7 linked regions of the Nothobranchius furzeri genome follow. The main gene of each other region encodes a partner of the protein of the gene in region 6 in a complex. Links are inferred from orthologs where the notes say so. Each region holds a gene or a part of one and is shown on either strand. Other genes may lie near its edges.

Evidence for each region.
Region 1: med1 (region 6) and med18 share a complex: the UniProt entries of both Homo sapiens proteins name them as parts of the mediator complex. The link is inferred for Nothobranchius furzeri from reciprocal best matches to the Homo sapiens genes MED1 and MED18.
Region 2: med1 (region 6) and med8 share a complex: the UniProt entries of both Homo sapiens proteins name them as parts of the mediator complex. The link is inferred for Nothobranchius furzeri from reciprocal best matches to the Homo sapiens genes MED1 and MED8.
Region 3: med1 (region 6) and med23 share a complex: the UniProt entries of both Homo sapiens proteins name them as parts of the mediator complex. The link is inferred for Nothobranchius furzeri from reciprocal best matches to the Homo sapiens genes MED1 and MED23.
Region 4: med1 (region 6) and med19a share a complex: the UniProt entries of both Homo sapiens proteins name them as parts of the mediator complex. The link is inferred for Nothobranchius furzeri from reciprocal best matches to the Homo sapiens genes MED1 and MED19.
Region 5: med1 (region 6) and med7 share a complex: the UniProt entries of both Homo sapiens proteins name them as parts of the mediator complex. The link is inferred for Nothobranchius furzeri from reciprocal best matches to the Homo sapiens genes MED1 and MED7.
Region 7: med1 (region 6) and med31 share a complex: the UniProt entries of both Homo sapiens proteins name them as parts of the mediator complex. The link is inferred for Nothobranchius furzeri from reciprocal best matches to the Homo sapiens genes MED1 and MED31.

What each region holds. Positions count from the first base shown.
Region 1 is NC_091745.1:72,040,786-72,045,004, reverse strand, and holds med18 (mediator of RNA polymerase II transcription subunit 18), read right to left. Parts: upstream 2,726-4,219; 5' UTR 2,441-2,725; intron 2,116-2,440; 5' UTR 2,099-2,115; coding exon 2,026-2,098; intron 1,252-2,025; coding exon 695-1,251; 3' UTR 595-694; downstream 1-594. UniProt on the Homo sapiens protein: Component of the Mediator complex, a coactivator involved in the regulated transcription of nearly all RNA polymerase II-dependent genes.
Region 2 is NC_091756.1:57,827,741-57,831,978, reverse strand, and holds the start of med8 (mediator of RNA polymerase II transcription subunit 8), read right to left. Parts: upstream 2,848-4,238; 5' UTR 2,793-2,847; intron 2,648-2,792; 5' UTR 2,531-2,647; coding exon 2,525-2,530; intron 2,296-2,524; coding exon 2,174-2,295; intron 1,680-2,173; coding exon 1,535-1,679; intron 1,461-1,534; coding exon 1,320-1,460; intron 1,224-1,319; coding exon 1,136-1,223; intron 1-1,135. UniProt on the Homo sapiens protein: Component of the Mediator complex, a coactivator involved in the regulated transcription of nearly all RNA polymerase II-dependent genes.
Region 3 is NC_091742.1:26,117,107-26,121,538, reverse strand, and holds the start of med23 (mediator of RNA polymerase II transcription subunit 23), read right to left. Parts: upstream 3,012-4,432; 5' UTR 2,929-3,011; intron 2,320-2,928; exon of another isoform or gene 2,186-2,319; 5' UTR 2,184-2,185; coding exon 2,133-2,183; intron 1,856-2,132; coding exon 1,824-1,855; intron 1,693-1,823; coding exon 1,605-1,692; intron 1,521-1,604; coding exon 1,396-1,520; intron 1,121-1,395; coding exon 1,009-1,120; intron 771-1,008; coding exon 672-770; intron 125-671; coding exon 23-124; intron 1-22. Other genes in the region: il20ra (interleukin-20 receptor subunit alpha), read left to right, coding at 3,167-3,215. UniProt on the Homo sapiens protein: Required for transcriptional activation subsequent to the assembly of the pre-initiation complex. Component of the Mediator complex, a coactivator involved in the regulated transcription of nearly all RNA polymerase II-dependent genes.
Region 4 is NC_091741.1:91,561,792-91,565,185, forward strand, and holds part of med19a (mediator of RNA polymerase II transcription subunit 19-A), read left to right. Parts: intron 1-1,242; coding exon 1,243-1,376; intron 1,377-1,459; coding exon 1,460-1,556; intron 1,557-1,637; coding exon 1,638-1,732; intron 1,733-3,394. UniProt on the Homo sapiens protein: Component of the Mediator complex, a coactivator involved in the regulated transcription of nearly all RNA polymerase II-dependent genes.
Region 5 is NC_091742.1:50,786,460-50,790,754, reverse strand, and holds med7 (mediator of RNA polymerase II transcription subunit 7), read right to left. Parts: upstream 3,039-4,295; 5' UTR 2,897-3,038; intron 1,694-2,896; 5' UTR 1,685-1,693; coding exon 920-1,684; 3' UTR 370-919; downstream 1-369. Other genes in the region: itk (tyrosine-protein kinase ITK/TSK), read left to right, coding at 4,265-4,295. UniProt on the Homo sapiens protein: Component of the Mediator complex, a coactivator involved in the regulated transcription of nearly all RNA polymerase II-dependent genes.
Region 6 is NC_091756.1:39,214,340-39,218,086, reverse strand, and holds part of med1 (mediator of RNA polymerase II transcription subunit 1), read left to right. Parts: intron 1-2,059; coding exon 2,060-2,223; intron 2,224-2,317; coding exon 2,318-2,429; intron 2,430-2,589; coding exon 2,590-2,714; intron 2,715-3,747. UniProt on the Homo sapiens protein: Component of the Mediator complex, a coactivator involved in the regulated transcription of nearly all RNA polymerase II-dependent genes.
Region 7 is NC_091750.1:26,556,639-26,560,878, reverse strand, and holds the start of med31 (mediator of RNA polymerase II transcription subunit 31), read left to right. Parts: upstream 1-1,413; 5' UTR 1,414-1,563; coding exon 1,564-1,588; intron 1,589-1,855; coding exon 1,856-1,930; intron 1,931-2,003; coding exon 2,004-2,100; intron 2,101-4,240. UniProt on the Homo sapiens protein: Component of the Mediator complex, a coactivator involved in the regulated transcription of nearly all RNA polymerase II-dependent genes.

The sequences.
Region 1 (4,219 bases), on a different chromosome or scaffold from region 6:
ATTAGTTACTTCCATCTCTGCAGGCAATTGGCCATAATGTTGACACACTAGTATACAGCCCTCTTTTTTTTCTTCTTCCAATTTCATCGTGAACAGTTAAGGACCCAAGGCAGCTGTGGAGCTTTCATGTGTAATGGTTCCAGTTCAATTTCCCATGAAAAAGGGGCACTAATGGGTTAACAGTGGAAACGAGAGGGGCAGGGAGCGAAAATCAATGCTTTTGTTGAGGGAAAGAAAGGAAGGCTTTCACAGGTCTATGTATCATTAAGCAATTGAGAAAGCTAATTAGAATGAGGTAAAAGATGTGCAGATCTCGCAGCTAATTATTTCCATGGCAACCACAGCTCCAGTAGATGATGAGAGGTAGCATTCAATTTGTTCCAATCAAGGCAAAGACAAGAGAAAGAGAGACCCCTAGTGGACGGAAAGAAAAACGTCCACAGCAAAAACCACCTCTTATTCAGTAAAGCATTAAAAGGTTCTTTGAATAAATAGCTTTAGCTGTTAATACACTATAATTTTCATCAACATGAGGAATAAATGAAGCATTTTTTAGATAGTGAAACAAATTCAAAAACAAATAAAACTCTCGAATAAAAGTTGAGCAGTATTTTATTTTCTATTAAGATAAAAAACAAACAATTAAACAAAAGTAGCTACATTAAATGAGTCCATGTTAGTCTGAATTCTACTTCTAATGTCTCTGCTTGCTTGGGTCAATCTTCTCCAGGTGAATCAGAGGTTTCAGTTGCTCTGCAAAGCTGCGCATGTCCTCTGAAACCGTGTCCTGGCCAGCAGGGGCCAACACGCTCAGTTCAACTAGGTGCGAATTTGACATTCGCTCTGTGTTTTCCGTGTTTCCTGGTAGCTGGACCCGAGAAACGTTGCAAACCACCACTTTCATAGCTCCTTTGCGAAATATGTGGCCGCTGGTGACAAATTCGTGGTCCATGCGGAAGCCCATCTCGTTCAGGAACTCTGGAAGGCTGTGAGAGGCAGCCACGTCAACGCAGTTGCGTACCAAGGCGTAGCGGTTTTTGTCTCCCACTTCAGGTTGGCCGAGATAACGCAGATGCCATGGAGCATTTGGGTGGGAGAGGGCGCGCCGGGCACGCAGGATAAAAGGATTTCCCTGCTGGCCTTTCAGAAGGTACACCAGCTCATGGTCTGTGAAAGTCTCGGGTTCCATGTTGTCACACAGACCACGGAGGCGATGCAGCAGGCTTTCCAGAGCCAGATCTAACACGCTGCCTGGATTCAACAAAAACAAAGAAAATAATGCTTCATTGAAGGAAAAATAACAGCAATCATTTTCTAACATGAATAATTCAAAAATAAAACAAACATCTTATGTCACTCAAACTTTATCTGAAACAGTAAAGGTATAAAACATGTATTCTATAATCAGTCTTCATCAGAATATGTTTTTCATGTAACACGTTTCCTTAAACTGTCAGATTAGAGGTTAATCCAGCTTTTGAGGACTTTTTCCACAGTTATGCTTTCATGGAAGCAGAAACAAGATTCTGAGATTTTACAAATTAGTAAAAATAAAATGACTAATAACTGATAGTTTCAGTTTATGGTAGAAGATCTTTTAAATCTTAGTTATCACCTACAAATATGTGTTCCTTATGCTGTACATCTTTGGAAACCCAATTTAGTATTTTTATTTTGTTGCTCTTAGTGGTTTGAAGGTTACAATAATAGCTTACTGCCGTTGTGTATGTACCTGCACTTTTGTTTTTATTTTTTTCTTCTTCCTTTTCTCTAAGCGTATGTTCTGCTCTAGAGTGAATGTCCCCCCTGGGATTAATAGCCTATTCAATTCAATTTAGATTTTTCCCCATTAACAGTCATCCATCTTTCATTGTTGACATAATAGCTGATATAAAATACTACATATGGCCACTAATGCAAAACTGACAATTGTATAAAACGTTGAAATGTCTGAAAAGTAATTTTTCTTGTGTACTTAAAAAGCACTCAGGGAGACTATTTTTATTTTGTATCTCACTAACTCACCTTGTAACAAATATTCCATCATATTAATCGTCCCACCGGTCACAGGCATCACGGTAACAGGAGGGGCCTCCATCTTTTCTCAGGTATCTGCTTTTGTCCCAATTTAAAAAGAAAAGCAGTCAGTAAGCTTAGCTCAACATGCTAATAAATAGCTAAATATTTCACTTTAAGAAAAAGGTCGAGGTGGTTCTAAACTTATTTTAATCAACACTTTGCATGCTGGCTCACTGTTACTTGATAATATGCAGAGCTTAATGTAAATAGCTACTTATGATGTTAACTTGTTCGTTATGCTAGCTAATAGTTAAAAGGCTAAATTATGTTGCTAAGCTAAATCATTCATACAGTTTGCGACTCCCCCAAAAAGTCTACTTTTACATGAAAAATAGCCATAAAGCAGAATGCTACTCCGTACCTGTTAAGGTAAACCAGAATAAATGTTGGCGTAATGGTTTGTTAAAGACCCGGTAAGCCTCTTCCGGTTAGCATGTAGCGTTAGCTAACCGCTAGTTCGCCAAGTTTTTACGTCAGCAACATACAAATGAGTCACTCCAGCTGTTCAAGTAAAAAATGGAGGAAACGTAGTCAAAATAAAACCACCCACGCATGTGGAGATTAGACAAAACATTCAATATGCATCAAAAATACGAGAGCATCTTTCTTTGGCTTGTTTTTGAAGCGCGTTACAACCGCTATGATAACACTCTGCTGCCACCTACTGGAGAATGACGGTTTTACAACATCTATGTCTAAAAACTACGGTGCACAAACGAAATGACAGGATCTTCGCATTAATATTCCACATTTCCTGAAATAAAAATAGAAATGAAGTTCATTCTGCAACTGCAGAAAGTAAATTAATGATCCAACAGTTTATAAATAATCATGAAAAAATAATCAGTCCAGTCACAACTAATCTGTTTCTCTATTATGATTTTATTCAGTTGTCTTCATCAGATCATATTTTAATCGCTTATAACTCTTTCTCAGAACGTCATTTTAAAATATCGGAACAGTTTCTTAAAAATAAATTCACTTCATTGTCTTTGGAAATTTTTAAACATTTAAAATTTAAATTGTATTATTTTATTCATAAATTCAAAATCTGCAAAATGAGAAATGTATCCACATTTCAGCAATATATCGTAACATATTATGGAAGAGTATGTATAAAATAAAATATATTTTAAATGTAGAAATTTATTTATTTATTTATTTATTTATTTATTTATTTATTTTGGGCAAAAATTGAGAAATTTTAGATTTTACCTCCACAACCCTGTGGGAGTAATAATTATACATACAATCATATTAGAAGTTGTTGACAAATTGATCACTAAATCAGAGGACAGTGTGGAAACTACAATCACTAACTCTTCAGTTTAGCTTTCATCTCTGCCAGGTGTGTTTCTACTACACTTTTATTTCACCATAAATGCAGTCAGTTTCACATGCATATCTATGTCTTCTTGCGGGAGGTGCCTTGATGACAAGAGAAGAATAAATAACAGTCGGGTTTTCTTCTTCTTCCTGCAGCATAAAACAAGACATTAATTACCTTAGCAAAACATCACATGTGGTATTTCATACATACACTTTATAATACTCATCATACCTTGCTGCCAAATCCGCAACAAGAGCTGTGAAACGGAAATGCTGAGGAGAGACAGAAAGAGAATCAGGTTGAAGGGCAAACCACTGTGCATGATTAAAATCTATATGTAAATTACAAAAAACAGGAAGTCTCAACGAAAACCTACAGCTGCAAATCCTACCTGCTTGCAGTCTTGATTTGAAGCAAAAAATCACGAGTGCTGTTACAGCTAGACATGCCGCAGTGATTGATACTCCATAAATGGCTGGAAACGTGTTTTCAGTCTCCTCAGATTCACCTGTAGAGTCAACAATATGTTTATTTTAATTGTTTAATTTTAATTTAGAATTTAAAAAAGAGGGTCGCGGCATTCACTCGCCTGCTGATGTGTTTAAAACTGCTGATGCTGATGTGTAAGTGCTGGTAACAGTCGTGCTATTGTCCAAAATCTGACCTGCCGTACAAACGAAAACCCCAGATGGAGCTACGTCCACTGATATTATCGTATTGTCCACCTGAAGCCTTGAAGTCTCTTTTCTAGTTTCAGAATCCACATCACACGTCACGAAACAAGACAGAGAGGAGTCCTCACGGTGGTGT
Region 2 (4,238 bases), about 19 Mb from region 6:
TATTCTGTCATAAAATTGCTCAGGGCACAATCAGGACAAAAATAAATGAGAAACAAGATGATCACTAAAATAACTCCTGATTCCCAGTATAAAAAGACCAATATACTTATAGCTCATAGTCTATGACCCAAGGGCTATAGACCTTGGTTTAACTCATGTTAGTCTAACCAGTACAGACCCAAATACCAATATCTTGCAAATACTGACAGCAAGAATTATACAGTGGCATTTATAACAAATAAACGCAAATAAATTGATGTTCACAAAATGTTGCATAACATTTATTGAGTCGTGTCAAGGTGCTGTAGGAGAGTGCACTAGCACCGTGTCCTCAGAGAGATTAGTTATTATTTATCAGCGTGAGGAACTTATTTCTACCTTATTTATAAACTATTTATTTACAGGTCCATCAGTTAATGTAATAATTGTCCCAACCAAAGCTGCACCCCCCAACCCGGTCTCACAGCAATCGGGGGCAAGCTGCACGTGTGTTTAGCACGCCGCACGCGCACATTTAGCTGTTTTTAGAGGCTCAGGAGTCCGCAGGTGCGGTGTGTGTGTTACTCACTCTGGTTACTCTAACAGGGAGTCGGCTCTGTGAGCCGTTTCCTTAGCGACTGACACATCACTACATCATTCCCTTTCCTAATGTCCTGAAGAACGGTCCGGAGCGCAGGCGGAGTGTTTAGCTAACCTGCAGGAAATGTCCACGACAGTTATCCAGAAAGTAGCTAAGGGTTTCCAGAGATGTTTCTGAGGTGTTTGCTAGGTACTTTTAAGATTTAAAAAGTCAAGAAGGGGGTCTGAGAAGCTGCTAGAAATAGCATCAAGGAGGAGCGCTTCATTTGCAACTCAGGACAGCGTAAGTGGGAGGAGCAAATAATTGGCTTGTTTTGTTTTAATAATCGTTCAAAACTCAGATCGTAATTGGGATTAAACTTCGATTAATTGAGCAGCCCTAGGTTAAACCACCAAATGGTTCTTGAGCACGGCCATGTCTGCAGCTCACCGCTTCCCCAGCGTATGGGTCGAATGCGGAGAAAAAATATCACTAGTGTGTGACGACTAATGGGACTTTAACTTTTAAACAACTTTTTCTAATGGTAAAAAAATGTGCAGCAAAACCTGAACACACCTGCGCTTTCTGCATCTCGGTCTTCCCGTGGGTTGTTTAGCTTCTCCAGCAGATTGGAGCACATCTTATTCAAAGTCTGGATCTGTTTCTGTTCATGCAGACAAATGAAGGTAAACAAAGCAGAGCCGGATGAAAGCTATCAAATCAGACAACTAACAGGACACAAAATATTATTCCACACAACCTGTGCTGCATCAGGACCTATCCGTGCTGCCTCTGCACTCAGCTGTTTTTCCTGCTCCTCCACCTCTGGATCAGGCTTGGTCCTCAAGTAGTCTGGAACAATCTCATGGCTGAACACCGGCACACGCTTCTCTGTGAGTTTCTGAGAGGCAGTGAGAAGCTATTAGTGAGCTTAACTCAAAAATAAGTAGATGAGACTGAGATGCTGCTACTCACCGCTAAGTCATCATCTCTTTCTTGAGATAAGACCAACGGAATAATAACCTGGCTGCGAAAAGATGGCGTCTTCTCATTCTTGAGCAGTCTGTTGATGGTATTCAGTTGACCAGAGAGGAGTGCAAAGTTATCCAAAACAGATGGCCTGAGTCAAAGCAGAACACAAAGTAGCGTCTGAGAGGAAATTTTAATCAAAAGATCCGCATCTGGACTAAAATATTTTAAACTAAGGTTATTTCACTAAGGACTGTGCAATTAACCTAATTTACAATTTTTATTTCATCCTTAGTTAGCACTAAAAAATGACCAACAGGAACAAAAATAATCATGATTGTTTTCGTGATCAGGCAGCACCATTTCACTAGCCTAGAAATTTAGACCAACCACAGCAATATCAAATGAAAATGACCCACACTATAGCGCCTTTCAGAGTCAGGGGATTCCAAAGTGTATTATTTATCCATTCACACACACATTCACACCCTGGTGGTGATGAGCTATAATGTAGCCACAGCTGCCCTGTGGCACACTGACAGAGCTGAGGCTGCCAAGCACAGGCATCACCGGCCACCCATCTAATGCTGCATTTCTTTACCGATAAGATAGTACGTTTCTATTTTAATAATAATAATAATTTACCAGGTCAAACGCTCATATTCATTTTCTAACTTGGCAATAAAACTCTGCAGAGCGTTTTTAACGTGAGCCACCAGAGAGATCAGCGTGTCCACAGAGGCTTCCAACTGCTTTTCTTCCCTTTGCTGAAAGACACGTGAAGAACGATCATTTTATTTCATTTTGATGACTGACAAACAAACGAGACAACAAATATGTTAGCAGGGAAAAGCTACGTGCTACATAGCTTCGCAAATGAAGGCTAGTTAAATTATCTTTAAAGAGCAAATATATTTGATATACCAGTGAACATAATAAACTACAACAATGTCGCCTACATTTGTTTTACTTTATTTTCCTATTATCAACGATTACCTGCATTGCTGATCTTAGCCGGATGCCTCTGATGAACCGTTCTTATCACTTCCGGTGTTACAAAAATATGAGTCCCCAAAATATGTTCCACCTCAGCTCCGCTTGAACCATGCCACCAAAGTGCTATACAATCAAAATAAAACAGATAAAACCAGCAGGGACAACTAAAAAACAATATACACATAACAGTATAAGAGCATGTAAAAATATCAGCAACAGCTAACCCACAGAGTTAAAAGCCAGATCATAAAAGTAGTATTTTACAAACCTGTACTCATGGGGAGAGAGAGCCTAGTGGTTAAGGGAAGGGCATTCCATAGTCTCGGGCCCGCTACCGAGAACGCCCTATCCCCTCTTGTCCTCAGCTGAACTCTGGAAACCGAGAGCAGAAACTGGTTCACAGAAAGGAGTGCCAGACCAGGAACATGTGGCTGTAATAGGCAGGGGCCAACCCATTAAACAATTAATTCTAAAATTGACAGGGAGCAGTGCAGAGCAGCCAGAATTGGAGTCGTGTGTTCATACTTTCTCTTGCCTTCCAAAAATCTCACTGCAGCATTTTGAACAAGCTGTAAGCGAGCTACAGTACTCTGACTTACACCAAATAAGACAGTTACAGTAGTCAAGGTGTGAGGTGATTAATTAATCAATGTATTCATTCATTCAGTCATTCATTTATCAATGTAATAATTAATTGATTTATCAATTAATTTGTTTAAAAATATATTCATATATATCATATATTATATTTTATATATATATATATATTTATGTTCTTATAAATAATAACAAGAATAAATAATTATTTTGAATATATTTATTTATAGCAATTAATTAATAATTAATCAATAATTAATTAATTTATCTATGCATTCATTCATTCAATGTAATAATTAATTGATTTGTCATTTTATTTATTTATAAATATATTAATTTATATTATATATTCTAATATATATATTTATGTTCTTAGAAATAATAACAAGAATGAATAATTATTTTGAATATATTTATTTATAGCAATTAATTAATAATTAATCCATAATTAATTAATTTATCGATGTATTCATTCATTCAATGTAATAATTAATTGATTTGTCAATTTATTTATTTATAAATATATTAATTTATATTATATATTCTAATATATGTATTTCTGTTATTATAAATATTAACAAGAACAAATTGTTATTTTGAGTATATATATATTTATATTAATTAATTAATAATTAATCATTAATTAATTAATTTATGAATGTATTCATTCATGATGGATATAACTGATTTTGACATCACAGGGTTATTGATGTAACAGTGTAGGTGTTTGTTTAAACAGAAGGTCATCAATTTGATCACATTTTAGAGTGGTGAAGAATGACCTCTTTGATCACCCTCCTGTTATCTGTAACTTCCTGAGACAAGATGAAGGTCCAACAATCTGTTGATTAGGTTACCCCGGTCAGCTGGTTCTAAAGAACTGTGTGTGGGGGTTGATCTGTAACTTCTGGGTGTGCCTTCCTAAATAAAAGAAGCTCTAAGGCTTTGCCTGATTGTGAGTGCAAAATGCCTTTTGTCTGGTGTGTAGTGATTCTCTCACCCTTTGCAAATGCATTCTTGCCTTTGCAAAGTATTTGTTGTTGTTTGTTGTTGGCAGGATTACAATTTACCAAATTATTAATCTAATCCCTCTGTGTGTGCTTTGACTTTCTTTGAG
Region 3 (4,432 bases), on a different chromosome or scaffold from region 6:
TAAAATAAAGAGATCTACTCACCCAGTGTGAGAGTTGTCCCTCTGGATAAAGTTTTCTGATTTCTGTAACAGCGAAATATGCAGGCAAGAGGCAGGCGTTTCTGTCAAGGATATATTCAACCACCTGGAATATGAAACAAATGTAAACATGTTAATAAAACTGGCATTTTTAGTCATATTTACACAAAATGTCTTTTAACTCATTCACTGCCAATTTGCATTTTTTTTTACTGTTTGAGCATCGGAACGAGCCCCCGCGCTGAGAGAACAAACATCTCAGCCCTGAAGCCGATCTTCATCCACATACGTCACAGATCACATGATCAGGAAGCAACACATCCATGTGTTAGGAGATTGTTTTGGGGCGTTCCTGTAAAAAAAAGTGAGGCGCGAACCGGAAAAGCGTCTGCCGATCACAATTCGACAACGGATTATGAAAGAACGGATGACGCTCTAAACACACGGATTCTTCCTGATGTAAGAGGTGAGTCTCCTCTTTGTTTAGGTTGTTTTGGCATCGACATCATGCTAGCGTGAAACGTTCTGTGACTGTTAAAAAACAGTAAAAACGGCGAGAAACGCTGGCAGCGAAGGCCGTTAGCGATCAGGAAACGGCTGGCAGTGAATGAGTTAAACATAACTACTGAAGATGTAAACAGAAAGGAGGGCACCTCTCTAGCAGCAAGAAGCTGCTGGACTATGGCAGAACTGACAGTCGTAGGGATGGATTGTATTTTATCCAGTACAGCTTTCAGCAGATCACGAACCCCCTAAAACACAGATCAAAGCAAAGGTGTCGATTTAGAATTTTTATTTACTGATATTGTCCTTCATAAACTTCAAAAATTAGTATTCAAACCTCTTTTAAAGTACGAAAACCTTCAGCAGAGTTACAAGGCACATCTGCTACTGACCACAACAAATAAACAAGAACAACATTTTCCTGCACAGCATATTCATTAAGAAGGCATTTTTTTTAAACTGCATCTGGCGTTGAGTGTCAGAAACCTTGTAGTCCACGCCACCGATTATCTTGTGGATCAGTTTGAAAGTTAAGGCCCACAGCTGCGTCTTTTCCCACTGAAAACTCTTCGAGGTTATCAAAGCAACACACACCATCCTAAAAACAAAACAGCCTCTCTTAGATGCATGTTTAATACATTTAAAATACACTGATGTGCATGTGCTTAATCAGCTTTAACAACAGTAACATGAAAGTCACCAAATACGAAATAACATAAAAAAAATCTAATTTAGTTTACTGTATTCCTCAGGAAAAAGAACAGACAGTAATTCTGCAGTCACATCAAAAATATCACTGGAGTAATTATGACGTATTTTCGTCTAAATGAAGGCATAAGATGCAATGTGCCCTGGATGAGTGTGAGTATGAACCTTGGTGGCAACAAACTGGTCTCCACTGCCATCGCTAAACAGTCGTACAGGAATGAGATTCTTTTGGGACTGTGCTGACTGTGTATGAAATGCACAATCCATTGCACACACTTCTCATGGGAGTCCTGGTGGAATGACAGAAGTGAAATAAATTTTAATTATTTATTTTTACAAAAACGACAGATTAATTATCAGTACAAATGTAGAACCTGCGGCAGGGTTCCCATGTATTGTCTAAATGCTCCAAGACAGCTGATCAGTTTAGTCCTCTCATCCTCTGGAGTGTCCATGAACATCCTAAAAACAGCATTTATGTTTACTACCCCATTTTAACGGCAAATAAAAGCACAAAAAAACTCTAAGCCGAGCCCTCTTGTCCAGTTTTTATATAATTAATAAGTGTGAAAATGAATTTTGAGCCACCTCACCCTGCAAAAGCCTCCTCTATCAGCTCAGTTTTCTGTAAACAGAGGAAAATATGATTGCTGATTTACTAACACCAACAAAGTTAGAAAAACACATAAATGTCCAATTTAGACAATTAAAATAAAACTAAAACAGTTTTACATTCACATATATTTCCCCATTAATCTTCTGAATTACTGCATTTATGATTTAGATCAATAATTTGAAAGTGTATGCTAAATTCAGTAAGTGTCAGTGAATAGGCTAACACTCTTTGAGATGCTAATAAACGTTAGCTAAATTGTTAACCGGTTTAAGAAATTGCAACTTACCACAACGTCTTCAAAGATGCTCTGCAGCTGCGTCTCCATGGAAAGCGCCATCTCTGCGATATGAAACGTGTATTTTTATCCAAACATCACAGGGAACCTAACACAGAGCTGCCAGCAAGCTAGATGCTAACAGCAACAAATTCCGCCATGAGACATGAGACACGCGACCGACCACGAAAACGTTCCGGGTATGCATCGAAGCACGAGACAAAGATTCCGCCTCACTTAGTCTTTTGGCTCTTATGAATCGTCATAAAAGTCTATTAATTAAATTATTATTGTTAAATTATTATAGTCTATTTCTCTTTAAGTTTTATTAATGAGTGAAACACAAACTTTCAACTGAAGAGATGTAAATATTGGTGACTAGATGTATGTGTCAAGATGTGTTTCTGTTTTCTTTGTCACTTTACGTCTTTCAGACAGATAAGATATTCTAGATCTGAGTGAATAAACTTTGATGTTCTTCCAGGTCTAATATAAATCTTTTGGACACAGCAAAGATGGTTTTATCATCTCTTTAGCTAGTTAATAATTATCCCATTGTACAATTGCATCATGATACACAGTAAGTCACTGAGGAAATAAAAGAAGGGGAAACTAAACAAAAATACAGAAAAGGGAGAGGCACAATGTGAAAACCGTCAAATCACTGCTTTTGCAATCAAGTAAATGTCACAAAAACTGTTTGAAAATGTGAAAATATAAATTCATATTATTAACCATTATAAAAAAGAACATGAAAAACTTAAAGGCAGACGCTAGAGGCGCGTGAAGAACCATTCCACATAACTACCTGCTCAGGTGTATGTGCTCCGACCAGTGAGATCACATTCCTTCCTAAACACGGAAACCAGGCATCATTTTTGTGGCTTTACAGGTTTAATCGTGGCAGTCCGCGTTCCCTCCAACTTAAGACACTTTTATCTTCTTGTGTTTTTAATCTGATTGCGTTTAAACCCGAGGAGAAACAGGAGAGGATCAACGGGTGAGAAACCGCAGATTTCTCATTAAAATGGTCGATCCACACCGACATGTGGACTGAGATCGTCTTGATCGGATTTGTGGTTCTGCGGACCGCAGGTGAGACTGTTAAACTATTAACGCGAGAAAAAAAGGTTTTATGAAAAAAATAATAATCTTGCCTTGCTTTGTTGTTGCTAAACATGCGAGAAGTGTGTTTCATTTAAAGTAGGCTACAATCCAGTCAGTAAAACATCAAATTAATGAACAAAACAGAAAACTTCATGTTTACGCAAATTACCACAGAACTCTGAGATCACAAGGAATTTTAATTAGTCATTCAAAACGCTAGAAAACACCAGAAAGAGGTCGAATATATTACTAAAATGAAATTTATTTAATGCAGCAATTTTCTCTCCGATTCTGTCTCTTTGGTAAATGGTACATGGATTTGTAGCACCTTCTTAGGGTTTAACAACCCCCCAAGGCGCTTCACAATCATCAGTCATCCCCCCCACACACACACACATGGACGTAATTTTCACTTTAGAAGTGGGGGGGACACAAGGGGGGGGGGGTCTTTACAGTATGTTCTAATGGGAAACAGGCTTCAACACAAACGGTTGTTTTCTGCCTGGTCCTAGACCTCAACGAGTGTCAATTTAATATAGCGTAATATTGTTTTTGGATGGTAAAAAGTGCAGGGGTCCAAACTTGACTTTGGAAAAAATGGGGGGGACATGTCCCCCCGCCCCCCCCAAAAATTACGTCCATGCACACACACACACACACCCTGGAGCGCACGGACTGAGGCGAGGTCTGCCCATCTGCCATACAGTGGCGCCACCGGTCCCTCCGACCACCACAGCCGGAAAGACCGGTAGTGTCTTGCCTAAGGACACAAGAGCAGCATTCTCTGGCAACAGCACCTGACCCTTCTCTTCTCTGGTGGGAGCCGGAATCAAACCTGCAACCATCCGATTACTGGGCAACCCACCTAACCTCCTGAGCTATAGTTTATGAACTCGAGAGAATGCTCGAATGCATTGCAACCCAAAAAATAAATTATATATATATATATATTTATATATATTTATATATTTGCACATATATATATATTTGCACAAAGTTTCCAAACATTTCAATTAATTTAGTATAAAATTTCAAGTGAGTAGTTTTGAGTTTTAAGTTGTTTCATGTGACCCAGTCTGGTTTCATGATAATAATGGGTGCTTAGCTGTCAGCCAGTATAGGTTTACACCGTAGTTCCTGTAATGCACGTTTCATAAAGATCGTGTTGTTTCCTTTCAAGTAAACAGAGATGCAATTACTCCACT
Region 4 (3,394 bases), on a different chromosome or scaffold from region 6:
AATGGACCAACACCAGGAGAGGACATGGAGCCCAAATCATTAGATATCAACACCACACCTGGACTTGAGGCTTACTCTGCAACTTTTTCATATTTTTACATCGTTTTCTTTAGCCAGTATGTACTAAAATGACCCTTAGGGTGAAAAAAATGTCACTCAGACCCCCACCGCCCCCTGTGGCCAGAATATCACACTTGCAACTTGTCCGGTCCCTGATGGACTTAGTAAAGTGGAACTGACATGCTTCTTTAGCAATGACTTTCTATGGTTTCCCTTCCTTGTGGTAAAAAAGTTATCCGTGCATCCCTAATTTACATAATAGGTCAGATGAATTTTTTTAAACAAGTGACAAAATACTATACTTTTTCAGGATTTTCTACCTGTATTTGTCATCGTTTAAGCCAGGGGTGTCAAACTGAAATTCACTCTGGGCCAAACTGGAGAAACTAGAACAAAGTCATGGGAAAATGTTTATGGATGCAAATGCTTAAAATTTTCTTTATCTTCTGATTTGTGTTGTTGAATGTTTTATATGGAAACAAACCATAGTCTTGCATTAATAGTTACTCTGGAATAACCAAAGTTTAAAATTAACAACACACGGGCAGTTAACTTTGAAATAAAACACATCAGATGGAAACTGAGCAGAAGCCACAGAGTCAAATTTGAGCGTTTTACTACACCGGAGCTCATTTGGCTCCATTTGGAGGTTGCTTTCTGCGCTTTTCACGTCGGCCACAAATAGATTACTGAGCTGTTGAAATCTTGATATTTGGGCTTCAAAGTTGGCAAATTGCTGGGTGCTAACTAAGCAGTCATTTTTTTGTTTGTCTGAGACCGAATCTGTGGTCTCCAGGTCCGCAGCCGTACCCTCCTCGAGACTGGTAGCATGGATGCTGCTGATAATGCAGCAAAGCATTCTGGGATCTGTAGTATTGGCAACATATGCACTGGCAGGTCAGTTCTCGAGGGCCAGGGTTTGACTCCAGTGGCTTAAGCTATAGTTAATCTAAACCTGCATTCTGACAGGTGCTGGGACTTCTGGGCGCTCTAATGAATTAGACTTTGAGGGCTGAGGCTGTATCTCTAAAACCAAAAGTTTAACTTTCATTGTTTCTGATTTGTTGTTTTTTTTTAGCCTCTTTAATCTCACCTGGACTCCTCACTATGGCCTGTAAATTACACGGATCCCTTTCAGCCACGCTCTTTATTTCCACTTTTATAGTGTCTCTTTTGTTGCAGGTATGATCGACTGTCCGGGCACTCAGGACGGCAGCTCTCTGCGCTCTCTGATAGATAAGCCTCCCGTTTGTGGGAACTCGTTCAGCCCGCTGACTGGTGCTCTGCTCACAGGATTCAGACTACATACAGGACCGGTACCACAACACTGATTATGCCTGATAATAAATGATCATCTTATCCCCGTTATGTAACATGTAGTGTTTTTTTTTTTTTCCAGCTTCCAGAACAGTACAGACTGATGCACATACAGCCCCCAAAGAAGAAGAGCAAACACAAACACAAGCACAATCGACCACAGGACCCCCTCCCACAAGGTCTGGTGGCGTGTTAGTGAGGTCAGCTGAAACAAGTGCTACGTGTTTTTCACCACACTGACACGTCTGTTCTGATTTTAGAAACTCCGTCAGACTCTGATCCCAAGAAAAAGAAGAAAAAGAGGGACGATGATCCTGACCGCAAGAAAAAGAAGAAAGACAAGAAAAAAAAGAAGGTGAGAAAATTTTAAACACTAATTAAGTTTCTAGCTGGGCATTAAAAAGATTTAAAATGTTGACTCGGAATAGCATTGTGACATAAGTCGCACAGCAGTTTTGTTTTTTCATCCAGTTCTCAGTATTAATGAGTACACCCCCTTTGAAGAGTACAAATTTAATCAGTAGCTCAATGAACTAAAAAAATTTTCCAGAATTTTAACAAGGCTGGGTTTTATTAAACACTTGCTTAACTCCATAACATGAAATTAAGGCTATTAATATGACTTGGATCACAAAATCTTCAGTTTTGCTAAAATTGGTTTTAGCAAAAAGGAATACACCCCTCAACAAAAACTACTACATCAAGTCTTCTAGGCATGGCATGAACAAGATGGTGACATATTGCAACATCGGGCTGCATGGTGGCACAGTTGTTGCACTGTCGCTATTTCTGCGTGGAGTTGCGTGTTCTCCCCATGCATGCTCGGGTTTCCTCCGGGTACTCCGGTTTCCCCCACAGATCACAACATGCCCTATAGGTTATAAATTGTAAGTCGCTTTGGATAAAAGCGTCTGCTAAATAAATAAACATAAACATTAACATCTATCTTTTTCCATTCTTCAAGAATAACGTGTTTTATAATCTGGATGCTGGATGGAGAGTGATGCTCAACCTTCAGAATTCCCCACAGGTGTTCAGATCAGGAGACATACTTGGCCATTCAATCACCTTCACCCTGTTCTTCTTCAGAAATGCAACAGTAGCTTTAGATGCGTTTTGGATCATTGTCGTGGTGGAAACGTGCACAATGATTCAAATTCAATTCAATTCAAAGATACTTTATTAATACCAGAGGGAAATTGATTGCTGTAGTAGCTCAGAATAATAATAATAATCAAGTCATCAAAGAGTTATTGTATATTACAATGGCTGTTGGCAGGAAGGATCTCCAGTAGCGGTCAGTGTTGCAGCCAAACTGAAGAAGCCTCTGACTGAAGACACTCTTCCGTTGTCGGACAGTCTTGTGAAGAGAATGCTCAGGGTTGTCCATCATTTTCTTGATTCTCTGGAGAATCCTTCTTTGCATTATCCCCTCCAATGATCAAGTGCATGGAGTGATGGCTGCATCTTCTCCTTCAGTATAGAACAGGACATCGTTGAGTTCATGATGCCATCAATGAAATGCAGCTCCCCAACACCAGCAGCACTCATGCAGCCCCACATAAGGACACTGCCACCACCACCACGTTTCACTGTAGGCACCATGCATTTCTCTTTGAAATCCTCACCTTTACAACGCCATAGTTTTGAAACCATTACTTCCACAAACTGTGATCTTTGTCTCATCACTCCAGAGTACAGAGTGCCAGTAGTCTTCATCTCTTTCAGCACGGGCCCTAGCAAATCCTAGGTGTGCTTTTTGTGCATGAGCTTTAGGAGAGGCTTCCTTCGTAGACAATACCCATGTATGCCATTCCTCTGCAGTGTGCGTTGTATGGTGTCATGGGAAACGGTCACTCCAGTTTGGCTTTCTACTGCTTTAACTAACTGCAGTGAACTTTAATGGTGATTTTCTTCAGTCTTCAGAAGACGCTCCTTTTGAGATGTTCACTTCCATGGACGGCCTGGACGTCTCTGTAAGATGGTTGCACTTTCGTCTTTCTTACATTTTTTGGTC
Region 5 (4,295 bases), on a different chromosome or scaffold from region 6:
ATGGATTTAATAACTGAACACTTTCAGAAATCTCCACTATCCGACTGCTGGCGCTCATTTTCTCTGTCTTCATCACACTCTCCTCTCTCTCGCCCTTTTCCTCCTCCTCATTCCCTCTCGTCTCCCTCCGCCCGCATGTGCTCTGCTGTGTGTCTGAGTCTGATCCTCCCTCTTCCCCACCCCTACTGCTCTGTGTGTGGACAGTCTGGACACGTAGTTACACATGTTGACTAATCGCCTGCAGCTTTCACCAAAGCAAAAGGGGAGGGGGGAGGGGAGGGCTCCCAATGACGAGACGGCTCCTGTCGTTCACTTCAAAGAGCCGGCTCTTAGAACCAGTTCGTTCGCGACCGACACATCACTATTAAATAGGTTTTATTTGAATTTTTATTGGAAAAATAGTGTATGTATAAAGTATCACATGTACAGACGACTGACAGACGTAAACCTATCAAATGTCACCTTTCAATTCAGCACACCCCAACCCTAAACTTGTCTACATTGCATTACATTTTAAAAGAAGGCAGAATGACTTAATTAAATTTTACTCAGGTCTCTGATGAATCAAGCTCTTTGATATGCCGACTAGCTAAAGGATCTACGCATCTACCGCTAATGCATAATCAGCAAACCACAGCGTCAGAATTAGCAACAAATTCTTAACAAAAGCACTTTGTGTTTATGTGGAACCATATTAGATCATCGTTTTTGTGACGGCACTAAACTCCTGCTGCGGTTTCAAATAGATTTATTGAGCCCAGTGAACACAAAGATCTGTATAAGATTTAAACGCTAAGGAAATATTTACAAGTACATTTAGTTGAATTTGAAAAGAACATGTACAAATAATAGTATTTTTATCCCACACAAAGTATTTCATGCTGAGTGAAAAGTAAAAACATGCATGTGCTGTAAATCTTCATGCTATCTCATCTATTATACTACACATGGCAGCATCCTTGTCCCATGTTTTGTCTGTTTTTGAACTTGGGACATTCTTGTCCTGATCACCTGCAGCCATGCAGCTGGCGCCCGTGTCCTCTACATCCATTGGTTCGGTTTTCAGAATGGGGGCCTGTCCAGAAGAACAACCAAAACTAGATCCAGCAGACACACTCTTGGTCCCAACACACACACCGTCTGTTACATCCGACTGGGGTAAGTCATCAGGTAGAGATGCAAGGCACCCCTGGATCATCTCCACCACCCTGTCCAGATGCTTCTGGAACCTCTCTGCCGTCTCCAGTCTCTGCCTCTTCTGGACCTCCATCATGACTCTCAGTGTTTCTCTGGCTTGGTGTGGCCTGTACTCGTTTATAAGATGATGCATGTGAACAAACAAAAGCTTCATGTCCTCCAGTTTCTCTTCACGCTTTATGCTGCCAGGACTCTTGATGAGAATGTCCAACAAGTCCAGAAAGTTCACAAGAATTGACATGTTTAGTTTTTTGAGCTGCCGCTTGTGGTCAAACTGCATTGGATGGAGCCTCTCGATGCCTTGGCTCTCCAGAGGTCGAATGATAAGGTCATCACACTGGAACTGGTTGCCAAACATCATGTAGCTGTCTCTAATGGGTGGAGGCGGCTTTGGGACCAGACCCTTGCGGATATTTTCATCTGTGTACTCTTTAATGTACTGCATAGGTGGTGGAGGCAGGGCGCTGACCTGCTGTGGTTCACCCATGATGCAGACCTGAAAGTATAGAAAAAGAAAAAACATTTATTAGGAATTCCAGGCACTATTAAAGATCAAGAAATGCCTAAATGAACTTTTTTTTAGCTGATAACCTGTACAGATGAGTGTCTAATAGTGCTGTAGACATGTGCAATTATCAGTGTGGCAGTTTAGTGCAACTTATTCTAAATTTAATATTTCAGCCCAAAACCATAGTTATATCTCCATCTTCAGATTAAAACTCGGCTCCACATTCATGTAGAACCAGCTGTGGCTGATGGCTAAGCTGAAAAACATGACATTATCAGCTGATTACTACTACTACACAATACATTACAGCTACCTAATGAGCACAATAACTTATTAGGTAACAGCATATCGTGTAGAGCTCTGCATCAAAAGATATACACTATTACACATAACAGATTGTAGTAAAAGCCTGAATGCCCCTCATTTGTACAAATAAATACTGTTAAATGTAAACTGCAGTAACAAATAAAATGTTTTTATTAAGAATTTATTATTGTTTGATTTACTTTTTGAGAGTTTCGATAAAAGATTCTCAAAATCCTTGTACATAAAATATATTTAAAAATTCGACAAACGTCATTCTCCCAATAACTGCAGGATTCTATCATTAGGCTGGAGGGGCAAATTCAATAATCAGCATACACTTCCAGTAAAGTGTTAGTCTAAAATCTAAACTAATGTGTTGCAGCACCAGTCCAGCACAAAACATTCAAAGCAAAACTAGATTCTGATGGGTTTTTAAGTTGCACCTACTGCTGTTGTTGGTAGGAAAAGTAGATATGAACTTAAAATGACACGTAAATTATAGTATACACACTACTGCTCATTTTGGCGTAAAACATTTGCAATCTAGTTTGAAGTAAAATTAGGCTTTATTAGCCATAGTTAATAATTATAGGTTTAATATCTGGCTGAAACGTTGTTCTTAGGTATTTAAGTAGTCAAATTCAACTCCTAGCACGCACCTAACCATTGAACCTTTGTCTTCTGTGTTACCTTTATTTTGTTACGGACTCAATGTGTTATTGACAAACACTACAAGCAGAACTACGTTAGCGTCACCGCTGCATTTTGTACAGAAACCTAGCTAACTATAGCCACCGCTAATCCCGGTAGTTAATTGGGCACGTCAAAAATGAAGCGAACTACATAAAAGGTAAATGAGAAGGGAGTAAATGTATTCATACCCACCTTAAGAACAATCCTTTAGAAACACAACATATACTTCTAATAATAACGTTAATCAAATATCGTTGGAAAATTAGATCAGGGCTAACATAGCTTCTTCGATAAATGCAGAAAAGACCAGTCGTTTCTGTTTGATTTCTATTGGCTGAACTGTCCTCGTGATTGTTTTCCTAACGCTGATTGGGGTGCGGTCACAGAAAGAGCTCAACGCTGATTGGTAGAAATATCCGGAAGCACGGAAAAATTTGTTTTTCTTTTACTTTGTTCTTCAGAGGATCGATGGAAAAAGTACCGTTTGATGCCCAAACTGAACTGATTTTATACATGAAAAAGAAAAGTTACTAAAATATTCAGATAACTGTTGAATATTTTTGAATGAAAATACTAATTTTAAAGACATAAAAACAATAACCTGTATATTAATTCCTTCGGGTTCTCATTTTACAAACTATGTCAGTTATTGTTTGTTCTTTATGTTTATTTAGCAGACGCTTTTATCCAAAGCGACTTACAATTTATGACCTATAGGGCATGTTGTGATCTGTTTGTCCTCTTTCAGAATCTGCAGAAATCTATGAATTTTATCCTAAAATAATAATAATAAAAAAAGATGATTGTGATTTCTTATGTATGTGAAACACCTGCCACAAACAGAACGGTGTAAAAGGGTTGATATCGATATTAAAAAGAAATTGGGTTGATAATGACAAACTGAATTCTATTATTCTCTTGTGAAAAGATAGTGAGCAGCATTTTAATTCCTAATGTTCCGAACCGGTTTGCTCACGTTTATTTATTTACTCCTTGTCACCTAGATGAGTTTTGTAAATTTTTATGTGGCTTAAGTAGTTTTTACTCTTTACTTTAATCAAGAATTTAATGGACTGCATTCACTGTAAACAGTCTAAACTTCTCTGAAAAATAACAATATTTTGACGTGTAACCCCTAAATGCAAAGACACATTTAGAGAAAGAGAGATATTTCTTTATCTTAACTTTTTTCAGTGATGTTTTGTGTTTTGTTACTCATTTTATCTTCCCAATTGTTTAAAAAAGTACTACCAAAACCTGGATTTCTGCATTCACAGTCCTGCTTTGGGCTTAACTTGTTAATTCTCTATAACATTAGTGAAAGTACATGTGCAGGGTAGACATCTACAGTGTTTGTGCATCAAACAGTGTGTATTTCTGCTTGCGCAAATCATTTGTTGCCACAAGGATGTGGTTTACTGCCTGCCGCAGCTTCACGCCGGAAGCTCCACAGCATCTACGAAGTTTATCATCCACAACTTTGCCTTTTCTTCTTCTGACTCTGCGAGGCTCTGCTTGTGACAAAACCATTCGCAGACGCTCGCTGCGTTCTTCTTGACAATGTTCCCCAGGGTGATTTTGAGGGGAACCA
Region 6 (3,747 bases):
ATCCATGTTTTAGGAGATCATTTTGGGCCGTTCCTGTAAAATAAGTGAGGCTGGAAGCGGAAAAGCTTCTGCCGATCACAATACAACAAGGGATTATGAAAGAATGGATAACACTCGAAACACGCGGATTCTTCCTGATGTAAGAGGTGAGTCTACGCTTAGTTTTGGTTGTTTTGGCGTCGACATCATCCTAGCGCGCAACGTTCTGTGACTCTTAAAAAACAGTAAAAACAGCGAGAAACACTGGCAGCGAAGGCCTTTAGTGATCAGGAAACGGCTGGCAGTGAGAGTTAAAGAAAAAACTTGCTTCCTCTCACAAGTTATTCCCAGTATTGCATTTTGACTCATATTTAGAAAATGGCATATGTTGTAATTTCTAATGTAGATTAGGACGTAGGGCTGAATGAATTTAGGAAAAGATTGAATTGCAATTTTTCTAGAAGAAATTGCGATTTCGGTTCAATTCACGATTTTCTGCAAACAAAGGTCCAACATTAGCCTGCCAAGTCATCCTGTAGATTAAGTGAAAAGATGGTCTAGATTCTAAGCTAGTATAACAAATCATTCACATTAATATTTACTATTTAATCATACAATAAAAACAGTTAAAGCTATTAGTATTTTTTCCCATTATTATCTTTTATTTTTATTTTTAATGTGTTTGTGAAGCAACTTGTGCTTGTGATTTTTATCTAGAGAGGAGCTTTATAAAAACATGTTCTACTCCAAAACTGCATGGAGGAAAACTGTAGGTAGAAATAGCTTTTATATGTATTAAATAAAAATGCACACAGTTTTCCCTGCATTACCGCGGCAGGCTGGCTGCATGTTTTTCGAAGCCGTCTGGTAGTTTTTCCTCACTGAAACGTCAGTTCCGTGAGAGAGACGCACGCATTCTGACACCTTAGCTAGTTTGAACTAACGTGTGCCATCAGAAACATTCAAACCATTTTTAAAAGAGAAGTTGAGCTTTCAAGTCAACTAAAGTGTGCGACTCCACACTCGCGCTGATGAAGCATAAACCAAGCTTTAGAAATCAGCCTGAACCTGCTGATGTGGGAGGAGTCTCTCTCTCCCTTACTCAGCTACATTTTCTCTCTGTGTCCCGGGCTCACCTACGGTTATTATCGGCTCTAGCAGCGCTGCGTGTGGAAACATAAAACAGGGAAAATAACCTGAACATGCAGCTCTGCCAGCTGTAGAGTTGGGCTCGGCTCTGGACGGTACACCCCACCCCACCCTCCCCGTGCTGGCTTTTGCCGCCACCATAACACGGGGAAAACCCCAGATGTAAAAAAAAAAAAAGTTACACAACTGATCCTGGATCAGTCAAAACCGCAGCTTTGACGGTCACGTGATCGTGCTGTTTGAAATCGCAATTTTGGTCCAAAAACGGTAGATCGTTCAGCCCTATTAGAACGGTTTTTTTTTGTTTTTGTTTTTTTGTCACTGTAAAATAATATTTTTGGTTTAGACTGTCTTTACTGTCTAATAATGTTTTGAATGTTTTTTTCATTGGTTTGAGTAGATGGTAATCATTAAAGTTAAAGAGTATGCCCAAGAGTTTAACCCTAAACTGTCTTGTGAATTATTGATTTTGTGTAAAAATGAGTGATGCACCAATATGAAAATGTTGGGCCGATACCGATATCCGATATTAATACCACTGTTACTGCCGATAACCGTTATTTACCGATACCAATATACTGACATTAATGCTTCTAAAATCTGCAGATTTTGTATAGACTGAAAATTATTAAAGCTGAATTTACATCATTATGTACACACGCACACACAGTTATGCTTCTGAAATGATTACAATCACTGCCACATGACTAAACAAATCCACATCACCCCCCTCACCCTCTGAAACAGACAAACAAATGGAAACAAAAAAATATTGGTTTGGTAACATCGCCCCAGTTTTATTTGTCGGACCGATATGTTACAAAATTACTAACATTGTCCGATGCTGGTATTGATACCAATATATTGTGCATTCCCAGTAAAAATCTCTCTGGTTATTTGTTTTGATTGTTTTTGTTTGCATGTATTCTAGCGTAGCTACAGCTGCTAACGCAGTTGACACGATCCTTCATGGGACCGTTGGCTTACTGACAGCCAGGAGCGGCGGCCATCTGGTTACTCTTCAGTGTTACGTCTCACCTTATGACATATTCGAGGTGGAAGCAAGCTCTCAGCTCAACTTAAATGAAAACATAGGTTAGTTGATGAATGGACTTGATAACAAATGACTCCCCAGGTGGTTTTTTGTGTGACTTGTCTTTTCTTTGTATGTGGACGCTTTTTTCCCCAGTACCACGTACTCTAGGTGTCAGTGTCTCTGTGACGATTGAGGGAACCTCTGCTGTGTACAAGCTCCCGATAGCGCCACTCATCACTGGGACCCACGCCGTTGATAACAAAGGGTAAAAGAATGTATCTCATTTTGACAAAGTTCTCAATATATTAAGCAAATATAGTAAGCATTCAGATTCACTTTGTAAAACATTATCTTCTTATTTTAGCATCCCAAGCAGGAAGAAAGTGGAATGATCATATGTATATATATTTTTTCTGCATTTGTAGCACTCCTTCATTTTCCAGTGTGACCAATGCCAATTGTGTGGACCTGCCTGCAAGTTTTTTCCTCAAGATGAACCGCCCCATGCCTTTCTCGCTCTCCTTCATTCAGAGGATGGGCAATGCCACTTGTGAGTCACCCTTTTTAATATGTGTGTGTGTGTGCGTCTGGCCACTTTATTGGGTACACCGTGCTAGTACCGGGTTGGACCCCCTTTTGCCTTCAGAGCTGCCATAATCCTTCATGGCATAGATTCAACAAAGTACTGGAAACAGTCCTCAGAGATTTTGGTCCATATTGACATGAAAGCGTCACACAGTTGGTGTGTCGGCTGCATTTCCATGATGGAAATCTCCTGTTCCACCACATCCCAAAGGTGCTCTATTGGATTGAGATCTAGTGACTGTGGAGGCCATTTTAGTACAGTGAACTCATCGTCATGTTCAAGGAACCAGTCTGAGATGATTCAAGCTTTATGACATGGTGCATATCCTACTGGAAGTAGCCATCAGAAGATGGGTACACTATGGTCATAAAGGGATGGACATGGTCAGCAACAATACTCGGGTAGGCTGGTGTTGCAACATTGATCTATCAGTACTAAGCGGCCCAAAGTGTACGAAGAAAATGTCCCCCACACCATTACACCACTACCACCAGCCTGAATTGTTGATACAGGGCAGGATGAATCCATCCTTTTGTGTTGTTGATGTCAAATTCTGACCCTCCCATCCGAATGTTGCAGCAGAAATCATCAGACCAGGCAACATTTTCCAATCTTCTATTGTATAATTTTGGTGAACCTGTGTGAATTTTAGCCTCAGTTTCCTGTTCTTAGCTGACAGATGTGGCATCCGGTGTGGTCTTCTGCTGCTGTAGCCCATCTGCCTCAAGGTTCGACGTGTTGTATGTTCAGAGATGCTCTTCTGTATACCTTGGTTATAACGATGGTTATTTGAGTTACCGTCGCCTTTCTATCAGCCCCAACCAGTCTGGTCATTCTCCTCTGGCCTCAACAAGGCATTGTTACCCACAGAACTGCCGCTCACTCGATGTTTTCCCTTTTTCGGACTATTCTCTGTAAACCCTACAGATGGTCATGTGTGACAATCCCAGAAGATCAGCAGTTTCTGAAATACTCAGACCAGCCTGTCTGCACCAAC
Region 7 (4,240 bases), on a different chromosome or scaffold from region 6:
TTGTGGCACGCTTTAAACGCCATAGAAAACAGCAGGAGCTGGAGCGTCCAACCCCGACAGGCAACTGCAGCTGAAGTGGCAGCAACAGAAGAGGTCATTAAAATATTATATTATATAATGTGTGTGGATCCGGCCCGCGAGATGGTTGTGTAAACTTTATTTTCATACTTTACAATGTAGAGTGAAAATAAACTTATCTTTGTGAGCAAGTTTTCTCTGTAGAGTATAAATAAAACAAAGCTGCGCTCAAGGCTCACACAAGAACTTGAATCACATCCAATGACATGGCGACCGTAGATCAAGGCAGATCAAGGAAGCACAATATCACAGAAGCAGAAGTTGAGGTACCTGTGGGTGAGGTGGAGAAATGAAAGGAAGTACTTTTGCAAAACAAATAAGAGAAAATCCACGGAGAGACGCAGCGTTGCTGAAGCCGTCAATGTTGTAAATTCTTCAGAGAGATCTGTGGCAGATATAAAAAAGATGGTCCAATCAGGATTCGATTCCCAGACTCCCAGGTGAAAGTCACATGTGCTAACCAGTCAGCCAAATGGAGATCTCCCCTATTCAACTAGCCAGGGTGCATGATAAATCGAGTTACAGTAACAGGACACACACTGTCACAGACGCATGACATTCCTTCTCAATCTGTCCCCCTGCTGATATTCTGCATTCCGTATTCTGCGCGTCAGGCTGTGTGTGTGTGTGTGTGTGTGTGTGTGTGTGTGTGTGTGTGTGTGTGTGCGTGTGTGCGTGTGGGGGGGTCTTGTTCTGTGTGAAAACGAAGCAGTACAAGTGATAATGCTGCAGGATTTCATAATTTTATTCTTCTCAGCAGCAGCACTGCAGGTGCTCTCCATGTCCAAAATGTGCGTAAGCCAGGTGCTTAGTCATCTTAAAGTTGTGTACATTCTTCCGCTAAGTTTTCTTTCATAAATCCCAAAGTTTGCTTGTAAAGTTGCTTACACAGTTTTCCGACCCTGTTTGTGAGTAAGCAAGCTTTATAAATGAGGCCCCAGGGCTGGGCAGCCGTTATAGGGGAATACCACACTGTTAAGACCCTCAGTTAGTTAGTTAGTTAGTTAGTTAGTTAGTTAGTTAGTTAGTTAGCTAGTTAGTCTGATAGACATTAAATGGTTATGCAATTACTATAGTTTTGAACTATAATTTATAGTTATATTCTTCACCTAAATAATGGATGAGTTTATTTTTAAATGTTTGCTTAATCCAGCTTTTCTAAGGAGAAATAGGTCAATATTATATTATATTATATTATATTATATTATATTATATTATATTATATTATATTATATCATGTGTGCTTTAACTGCCCTCAAATAAATTCTGTTTCTATTTCTGTGGCTACCTCTAGTGGTCAGAAAGAAGCACTACAGCAGCCGTAAACTGTAGTGAATGTCGTGAAGGACGCTCGGTTTCCCGTCACAAGAGTCCGCTTACGTTTGATGGCGTTTGTTAAACTTAAACAAAGACGGAGGCTCTGAAGATTTGTGCTTTCTTAGTTTTGTGTTCAAATTTGAAAATATTAGGTTTATACCCCAGTCAATGACTCCTGTTGTCATGGAAACAGGTTGGTAGTGTATGTTTTAGCTTCGGTTTTAAACGGAGACAAACATTCCGGTTTTAAACTATTATTACAGCAGTTACGTTGATTTTTGGTTAATATGCGAAGCCGTTAGTTTTAAAATTCGTGTTGTTTTCCCACTTTTAGTGTTTTTAGTTGTTCGAACAAGTTTTAAGGAAAGTATAGAAGCACTTTAATAAAGTGTCTGGTTTTTAAGTGGAGTCTGGTGAACTAAACGTGTTTTCTGTTGTGCCGGATGTTTATGTGGTCCAGATGAACAGGCTCGGAACCGATTCCAGTCCGAACTGGAGTTTGTCCAGTGTCTGGCCAACCCGAACTACCTGAACTGTGAGTGACTGATCCACAGCGAGAGAAGCGGGTTCCTAACGTTCACAGAATGAAACATCTGGTTCTGTTTCAGTTCTGGCTCAGAGGGGTTACCTGAGGGAGAGACCTTTCATCAACTACCTGAAGTACCTGCTCTACTGGAAGGAACCTGAATATGCCAAGTTCCTCAAGTAAGAAGGGTCCGGGATCCACAAGCAGACCAAGCTGGTCGTACTTTTGGCTCATCGGGGAACTCATGTTGTTTTTAAAGAGCAAGTCACCCCTTACAAGAAGCGCACTTCACTCCCACTTCATGTTTGAAAAATGCAACAAATGCTGTTGCCTAGCAGACCGAGAGGGTGGAGCCACTAACAAATACACACACTCACGACATTGTGACATCATAATGTACCAGTTTACATCATAGCATACCTCTTAGCCAATAGCGGTGGCAGATTTAAATTCAAATGCAGTGCAGAGTTTTTACCTGACAACGGCACAACACTGACAGTTTCAGGCAGAAAATTAAAATTTTAACTAAAATACACTAAAGTGCAAAACTATTGACTACACGTGTCTGCAGGACAATTAGACACGCATTTATATAGTTTATCAGAAAAAAAATAGTTGATTTGGGGGTGACTTGCTCTTTAAAGAGCAAGTCACCCCCAAATCAACTATTTTTTTGCTGATAAACTAAATAAACGAGTGTCTAATCGTGCTGCAGACACGTGTCGTCAATAATTTGGCACTTCAGTGCATCTTAGTTAAAATTTAAATATTCTGCCTAAAACTGGCAGTGTTGTGCCGTTGTCAGGTAAAAACTCTGCACTGTATTTGAATTTAAATCTGCAACCGCTATTGGCTAAGAGGTATGCTATGATGTAAACTGGTACATTATGATGTCACAATGCTATCGTGAGCCTGTGTGTGTGTGTATTTGTTAGTGGCTCCGTCCTCTCGGTCTGCCAGGCAACAGCATTTGTTGCATTTTTCAAACATGAAGTGGAAGTGGAGTTATTAGACTCTGGTAGGGGTTGACTTGTTCTTTAAAGTGACGATCAGTCAAACACTGCATCGGTGTTTCTTCTAAGATGTACATGGGGCCACTGGGGTACGTCTCATCATGATGAACCCCCCTTCAAGGACATTGCAGTTGTCCTGGATATTTTTACACGCTTTGTTGTTGTTTAATAAAAGGTGGTTTTCCTGAAAAGTAGGGATGCTCCGATCCAGTGGCGTGATTTTAAAAGGATCGGGAGAAATTAATCAAATTTAACCTTTTAAAACAACAAACGTGACTTTTTTTAATTCATTCTGAGATAAAGAATTTCCAATGGAATACTACCAGTTTAGTTTTAATTTCAACAAGTTCCTCTACATCAATATTCTTTGTTTCGTATGCAAAAACAGCACCTTAACATCACACAACTTACATCAGGCAGAGATTCAGACACCACGCTGCAGCTGTTAGCAAACAGGCTAACGTCTGCAGCATGGTGGTATTTTAAACCGGACAGAAAAGGCAGAGCAACAGCCACGTGTAGTAAGTGCATACTGGGCATTCAACATGCTGGAAGAATGTTTCCATGATTCTCTGCCTTCAAACAAACTACCTTCTCTTTCCCCTTTGGGTGTCAAAATGAATCACCGGTCTCCATTAATTCCCAGTTTGCCACTTACAGTCCCAGTTCACAGTGAACTCGGACAAAAAAGTGGAACCAGCTGACAGAAAGGTACGCTAATATATGAAAAAATAATTGCATACAAACATGTTTCCTGCAGCCCCAAAGCCCAAAGCACAGGTAGGTGTTGTGCGTTAAAAGTTAGCCTATCAGCAGAGGTGCCGCTTACCTTATCCGTTACGGGATTGTGCATCCATCAGTCCAGCTGCATAATGAAGGAGGAAACAACCTTTAAATATATTCACAATGTAAACGCGTTTTTAAATCGGTGTACTTCCCAAACAAATGAAAGTGACAAAGGACAACTTGTAAGTGTTTTTTTATCTTTTTTTATTTTGATGCTTTGCTGAAAACGATCGGATCAGGAGCTAATAAACATGATCGTAACACGATTTCTTAAATGGTGGCTTTACAAGTAAACGCACAACTTAGACAATCAAAAAATGGGTACAGACAGAAGCTTATAACCCCAACCCCCCCACACCATATGAAGCTTAAGCTAAAATTTAAGAGTAGCATACTGATACCATAAGAGTTATACACCAGAATTGAAATTCATGAGCATGTATTCAAATCCACATTCTTGCTTTAAAAATAAAATAACCGTTAACACTTTCTGCAATTTTTCATTGACATGATTCATAGT